Cricetulus griseus: one gene and its partner. The protein of the gene in region 1 purifies or fractionates together with the protein of each later gene. This does not show direct contact. Links are inferred from orthologs where the notes say so. Each region holds a gene or a part of one and is shown on either strand. Other genes may lie near its edges.

Region 1 (3,815 bases):
GCTTAGAGGCTCTCTCCCTTCTAGGAGGAGCCCTTCTGAGGGGTGGGTGCGTCCACTTGGAGCTGTAGCTGCTCCCCTGTTTTCTGATGGGATGCTTGTTTGTAGCTGCTCCCTGTCTTCTGATGGGAGGCTTGTTTGGTTGGGTTTTGCTGTTTTTTGAGACAGTGTCTCAGCTGGGCAGTGGTGGCGCACACCTTTAAACCCAGCACTCAGGAGGCAGAGGCAGGTGGATCTCTGTGAATTTAAGACCAGCGTAGTCTACAGAGTGAGGTCCAGGACAGCCAGGGCTACACAGAGAAACTGTGTCTCAAAAGACGGAACAATAAAAAAGTGACAGGGTCTCCGTGCAGCCCCAGCTGTCCTGAAACTCACTAGGTACACCTGGCTGGCCTTGAACTCACAAGAGATTCACCTGCCTCTTCCTCCTGGTTGCTGGGATTAAAGGGTGTGCCATTGTACTGGCTGAGTTACCAATTTTTAATGATAATTTGGCTCAGATGTAGCCAATTGGCTTATTTAGCATTCAGAGAAAACAAATTCTGCCTGTCGGTGTGAATAGTCCTCCCATGTCAGAAGGGTCTTCTGAGAAAGACTTGGTCAGCGTCCTCCGAGGGAATACTGTCTGGTGACTGGGTATGTCTATACCTACAGGGAGAGACCGGCTGCGATATCTATTGAAATCAAGAGCATCGATGATACCTCCAACTTCGATGAATTCCCAGAGTCGGATATTCTTAAACCCACAGGTAACCCCCGCCCTCTGCCCCCGCCCGCCTCTGCAGCCTCAGGGCTGCATCCTCCCCAGCCGTTTTGGGGTGACATTTACAGATGCTCCTCAGAATGTGAAGGGGCACTTCTGATCCCTTGTAAGCGTTTATCAGTACTGTCGGGTAGCGTGAGACTACTAAATGGGACGTGAGTGAGTACAAATCTGTGTCTAGACTTTGAGCTGGCCAAGCATGTCACAAAACCTAACTCAGGTAAACTGAAATGACAGGAGCAAAAAAATAAAACTTTAAAAATATTTATTCAGAAATGGGAAATTCAGAGAACATAGGTAAGCAAAATAGAATTTTTGTTTTGTTTTTTTGAGACAGGGTTTCTCTGTGTAGCCCTGGCTGTCCTGGCACTTGCTCTTGTAGACCAGGCTGACCTCAAACTCACAGAGATCCACCTGCCTCTGCCTCCCAAGTGCTGAGATTAAAGGCGTGCGCCAACACCTCCCAGCGCAAAATAGAAAATTTGCACATTGAAGAATAATCCTTCCCGATTGGGAGCTGCGCTGTATTCTCCAGGGTGTCATGCCTCTGGGACTGAGCTGTCCTTGAGGTAGGACAGTGTCTCAGTCTCACCTGTCTCTTTGCCAGTGACAAGTAATCACCCTGAGAGTGACTACAAGAACAAGGACTGGGTCTTCATCAATTACACCTACAAGCGCTTTGAGGGGCTGACGGCCAGGGGGGCCATCCCTTCCTACATGAAGGCAGCAAAGTAAGACTGTGCTGAGGGCCCTAACTGGCCAGCGGTCCCTGTGCAGCACTGCAGCTCTCCTCTCACACTCTTGAAAGACTTCCAAGAAGTTTGTAGAACCCGTTAACACGCATAGTCAAGTCTCTGCAATGTGATTGTAAGTGGCTGTGCCTCCATACTGCACCAGGAAACTGATAGGACAAAGACAAGCATTTCTCCTCGGCCATAAGCAGCTGTCTTGCTTCTCTAGAAGCCCTACGAGCCAGTTTGCTAGGTGTTTCAAAGAGAATTTGAATCTCCTGAGTTCCTCAGAATGAAGGGGGGAAAGAGCCATCGCCCGCCATTACTGAGATTATAGACACTGAGTACCAGCCAATGCCTGTGTTGTGGTGAAATGCCACCTGCCAAGCCCACCAAGTATTTCTTTTCTCTTTATAGCTGAAAAATCTGTAGTTAAAGAAAACGCAATAATGAAAGTCTGTGTGAACACCCAACAGTGTGGCTGAAGGAACGGCCTCCGTTCTACAGGTGTGGGTGTTTTCTCCCCATACCTCAGCCTGCCCGAGTGACTTTCCACAGCCTTCATTCATGGTGCACTTTACTTATGGTACTAGGGCAAAGACCCCAAACCCACTGACCTATCTCCCCATCCCAAAGCCTCGTGCTGCTCTCCTGTTTTGGTAGGGAGGCACTAGTGTGACCCTTTGTTGCTGTTCGAAAGCCCACACAGCCACTGGGCACTGCCAAGGAGCTCTGGACCATGTGGCAACTCTCATTTTCTATACGAGACGATCTTGAGACACACACGTGCGCCTACCAGCAATGCCCGGCAGTGCTACAGGACAGCTTGTGCCTGAGAACACAGCAGAGAACCCAGGGAGGCTCAGGTGCTGCCATGCAAGATCTCCCAGCCTCCCAGCCTCCGTGGAAGTCAAGGCAGACCAGCCCACTGATGAGTAGTCCTCAGCTCACACCCAACTCATGGTGCAATTGTGTTTGTCTTGCTATTTCCCGATCCCAACTTTAAGTAGCCATTTTGCCTTGGAATCATGATTACAAATTTTTCCTTTGCAGATGCCTTCCTGGGGGATACTTGCCCCTGCACCCAAAAGGGTTGCCTGCAACTAGGGCTGCCTTGGCTCTGCTGTGGCATTCTGTCATGAGAAACACTGAATTTAGCACAAAGTGCCTTGTCTGCCACAGCTGCTGCCACCTTTGGAAAATGTTTGCTGCGTTAGAAAATGTGGAGGTTCTATGTTAATGCATTGTTAAGAGTTCGTTTCAAGTGTTGGTAACTGCTGAAGCATTATTTGCACCTGTGTGGTAACTCGCAGTGTCATGGCCAACCTATGACTGGGACTCGCTCTGCCAGTCTTGACACTGTGAAGGTCAGGTATGTCCTAGCTCAGCCATTCAGAGAATAGAAGACTTAAAACTGTAAGCAAAATGACTTTGGTTTTCATGTCTTAGGAAAAGAAAACAGAATGTTAGGAAGTCTTGACTCTGGGTAAGGGCACTGGCGGTGTTAGCTCCTTGAGCTGTCATTTAGAGCCTGGTGCAGAGGAGGTAGAAGGGCCTGTGGGTGGCTTTGAGCTATGTATTACCAAACAGTTGGGGTCCTGAACCCTGTGTGTTTGCAGGAGTGTGTGAGCATGGATGGAGAAGTCAGAGTAGTGGTAGACCCGTTGTGGTGGGGATGCTTCGTTCTGGGAAATGCCCACATTTTAACTATTCAACTTTTGAATAAACTGTGAAAACAGTAGTGGAACTTGGTTGTGGTTTTATTTCACGTGCCGTATTGAAAGTAGCTGTGGCCGGGTTTTGGTGACATGTGCCTTTAATCCCAGCACTCGGGAGGCAGAGGCAGGCGGATCTCTGTGAGTTCAAGGCCAGCCTGGTCTCCAGAGCGAGTGCCAGGATAGGCTCCAAAGCTACACAGAGAAACCCTGTCTCGAAAAACCAAAAAAAAAAAAAAAAAAGTAGCTGTGACCTGAAATCCAAGGAAGCAGAACACTGGTGGCCCTGCCCGATCTTTTTGTCCAGCGATATGGATATTGCACTGTTGCACTGTTCTCTTGATACAAAATGCTTTCTGTCTGGAGCTGGTCTTCTGAATTTATTCATTGAGAGAGACTATGGAGGCCCCTCCTATCTGTCTCTGTGCGGACAAAACACTTGCTGGACAGGTGGTGTCACTGGATCATCCAGGAATTTAAAACTTAAAATGTGGTATTTCTCAGTCCTAAATATTTGTTTAATTTATTTAAAAAAATCATTTATTGTGTGTCACAACTTTATGTGTGGTGATCACAAGACAACTTGTAGCAGTCGGTTCTTTATGTCAG
Region 2 (3,815 bases), on another chromosome or scaffold:
ATAAGTATTGAAGAACTTATATATGCCAAAGTGTACATTTGGATTGAGTGAGTGTTCATTTGGTGAGTGACTAATTTATGCTGAAGTTCAGCATTATGCATGCTAGCAATTGCTCTGCTACTGAGCCATATCCTCAGCCCTGTTTAAAGTTTTATAAGAGACAGAATTCTGCTATGCTGTCCAAGCTGGGGGTGATCAAGCCAGAGTGGCAGAGCTCCCATGGCCAGTACTCATGCCTTTCAAAAAGAGCTGTTTGTTGTTCATGAACCAAGAAGCTCTTCTTAGAACCACAAGATATACCAGTGCTGTTCAGTAACCTCCATTGCCGGCATTTGGTTATGGCAGTTCAGACTGATGATGGTGAGTGTTTCTCACAGGGAGGCTCAGACTTAGTTCTACAAGAATATGTTCATAAAAATCTCTTTGAAACTCTTATACTCACATAGTAGCAGCCATTCATCTGCTGGATTTACATTACCATTGCTGGTTTTCTGCTTGTTCTGTTTTTATCTTTATAATCCATGGTCATGCTGTATGTGGGGCTGTATCTCCCCACGCCCACTTTTTTAACTATTCCATTTCAATTTACCCATTATGGTTCTGACTGTGTGTTTTCATATCACTTAAAGAATTTCAAAGTACATACATAGCTTTTCATGTTCAGGGTTTCACAGCTGGGGAAAGGTGGTTACTAACAGGGAATAGGCACCTCTCCCCTCTCACTGCCATTGCTCACATGTCCCATCTCTGAACCTGAGAATGTGTCAAACCATACTTCATTTCACCCTCAAATAACTTCTGAGAGCTCCAGAGAAGAGTCTCTATTTCTCCTAATGCTGACTCTTTTGTGCTGTCACACAGCTGAAGAACTGGTTGGAATTCTTCTACAGTAGATCAGATACCATGCAGTGGTCCATTCAATTGTGCTTCTGAAGGGCATGGCTGCTGGATGTGAAATAATGTGGAGTAATGCCTCTTCTCTGTGCCATGTGAAACATGGAGTGCTTCTCCAAGTCCCACAGCACTCACTACCTTTGATGCCACAGGGCCTTTACTGTGCTTGGTGTCTGGGTTATTTCACAGGAGTCCTTAAGGGTTCACTCAGCTCTGTCAATTTAAAGGAGTGTCTCTGAGGGACATGTTTGACCATGTTTCTGAATGTGTCTTAGCTCCCTAGATCCCAATGCTGGCCTTTTGGGGTTATCCTGCAAGTGCTGCAAGAATAGAAATGAGACCTAGCCTAATGCAGATCCTCTCTAACCTAGGCAAACCTCCAGGGCTGGTACACAGCAAGGAGTTCTGTGGATATCTGACTAACCCACTTTTCCTTTTAAACTAATTTTGAGTTTCCAAAATCCCTTGGTCTCACATGATTCCTTCAAAGGGATTATAGTAGGAATTATTAAGTGATTCTGCAAAGTGAGCCAACGGCAAGCTTAGCTGCCCAGGCTCTCCAGCATGCACTGAATGCGGGTCTGCAACAACACTAGCTTCTATGCTCTCAAGAAAGCTTTTCCCTCGGGACCAGGCACTGGTGGCGCACGCCTTTAATCCCAGCACTCAGGAGGCAGAAGTAGGCGGATCTCTGTGAGTCTACAGAGTTCCAGGACAGGCTCCAAAACAATACAGAGAAACCCTGTCTCAACCTCCCCCCCCCAAAGAAAGCTTTTCCCAAACAAATTCAGCTCTAAGAGGCACATGGGAGAAGCTAGGAAGGGTACCATGCTGTTTGGTATTATCTAGGCTATGCACATGCTCTCATGTGCTACCTCAGAATCTGACATGGGTTTGTCCTTCAGAGGCCACACCTCTGTTAAACACACACACCGAGCTTGTCTATAGCAAGGCTTCTCACCTTCCCTGGCAATGATTAGCTGACACAGTCTCTTCCTGGGGAAGAGAACTGGCTCTGTTCTCCCTACATTGCCAGAAACTGAGCTATAGCCACTAGAGCTATGTGAGCAGGCCTGAGACATGGGGGACTCCTGTCACTTGCTGTACCAAGACTTACAGCAGACTCTTGAAAGCAGAGCTGTTGTCTGGGGAAATCTGTACCTACAAGGAGGACTGTTTGAGTGTACAACACACACACACACACACACACACACACACACGCGCGCGCGCGCGCGCGCGCTCATGTGCATACACATGTACATTTCCATGTGTTCACAGCATCTTGAGGAGTCATCATGGAAGATCTTCCACCTCCTTGGCCACATCCACCCTAGGCTGAGCCCTGCCAAACTCAGCCTTCTGCCTGCATTAGCACAGCCACTCCTACCATCAACCCAGAACTGCTGGCTTTCCTACGCACAAAGCAAGGTGAGTTATCTTGGAAACCCTAAAGTCACCTGCATTCTACAGCACTGAATGTACACATATATCCAGAAGATAGCTGTCAGCACTAGACTTGTTCAGAAGTTGTCAACAGACACCTCTACCAGTAGAATGAGCCTGCTCACTTAGCCTTGCAGCTCCTAGGACACTGAGCACTCTGCAGGCTCAGGGACCATCTAAGCATGGCCTGCCTTTGGCCTCTGATGGCTCTTAGTATCTTTTATGCCAGCAGAGACACTAATGCTGGGCACCTGCCTAGCCTGAGATTGTGCAGGGATTGTGGTTAAGAATGGAATCTAAGTCGGGCGTTGGTGGCACATGCCTTTAATCCCAGCACTCAGGAGGCAGAGACAGGCTGATCTCTGTGATTTCGAGGCCAGCCTGGTCTCCAGAGCGAGTGCCAGGATAGGCTCCAAAGCTACACAGAGAAACCCTGTCTCGAACCGCTCCCCCCCCCCAAAAAAAAAAGAATGGACTCTAAGAAGCTAGTAGCCAGAACAGAAGGTCAACCACAACCAATCCCACACTCCCAACTGGTGCTATGGCCAAGCTGCTACTCACGTGTTGCACACGGCCATTGTCTGACACGTCTCTCCTGTGCAAAATTCTGAGATTGTGCTATACTGCAGGTTGATGTGGTGAAAAAATGTTGTTGCTGGAAGAGAAGCAAAGGTCCAGGTGAGTAAACACCCCTGTTCCAGCTGGCGTGACAGGGAGTAGGTTCAGCTGAGTTCGGCCTGTCCATGGACCACTGCTCTAGGGGTACTTGGAGATGGGGGGAGGCTCCCTGCCCTGCAGCTGCTGCACCCGCCTCCCCACCCGCACGCACTGTTGCTGGCCAGCCACTCGTTGAGGTCGATCTCCCGGGGCAGCACTACCAGCTCCTTGAACTCAAAGTCGGTGATCCTGGACTTGGTGTGCTCTGGCTCCAGGTATACTTTCTTCTCCTCTGAAGCAGTTTTCTTGCCGTTTGGCTTGGCTTTAGACTTCCTGCCAAGAAAGAAAGGATGTCATGGATGACATGTCACATGTCCCATTTGAGCTGGAACCATGGGGGTCTGAGAAGGACCTGCAAATTGGGCTAATTACGTCAGATGCAGGCAAGGAGAGAGACCACCAAAGGCCAGACTGTTCAGGGCTATTGGGTAGCCAATCCAAATGGTCATGACTTTATAGACATCCTGGGAGAAAGTATTGTAGACCTGGGCTCTAAGATGTGTGTGACAGCAGGGGGCAGCACCTGATGCCTGAACCATAAACCTCTTTCAAAAGGCTGCTTTTCCAAGGTTCTTAAGAAAGTTCTGAATGTATAAGGAAGTGATTTAAGGTAATGAAAAACTGTTTCATATTTCTTTGCCCCTCTATGCTATTGTTATATTAATATTTCAAAGGTTCAAGAAACCTATACCAATGGGTCAACCAGACTACTGGAGACTACTCACCAGCAGGTTGCCAAAAGGAGATATTTATCCCTAGAA

What was found.
Region 2: the proteins of Stk38 (region 1) and Mob2 purify together in Homo sapiens (affinity purification with mass spectrometry; 7 studies listed by BioGRID and IntAct, with this or other methods). This does not show direct contact. The link is inferred for Cricetulus griseus from reciprocal best matches to the Homo sapiens genes STK38 and MOB2.

What each region holds. Positions count from the first base shown.
Region 1 is NW_023276806.1:257,481,573-257,485,387, reverse strand, and holds the end of Stk38 (serine/threonine-protein kinase 38), read left to right. Parts: intron 1-651; coding exon 652-746; intron 747-1,367; coding exon 1,368-1,495; 3' UTR 1,496-3,238; downstream 3,239-3,815. UniProt on the Homo sapiens protein: Serine/threonine-protein kinase that acts as a negative regulator of MAP3K1/2 signaling. Converts MAP3K2 from its phosphorylated form to its non-phosphorylated form and inhibits autophosphorylation of MAP3K2.
Region 2 is NC_048596.1:59,171,499-59,175,313, reverse strand, and holds part of Mob2 (MOB kinase activator 2), read right to left. Parts: intron 3,328-3,815; coding exon 3,167-3,327; intron 2,993-3,166; coding exon 2,899-2,992; intron 1-2,898. UniProt on the Homo sapiens protein: Stimulates the autophosphorylation and kinase activity of STK38 and STK38L.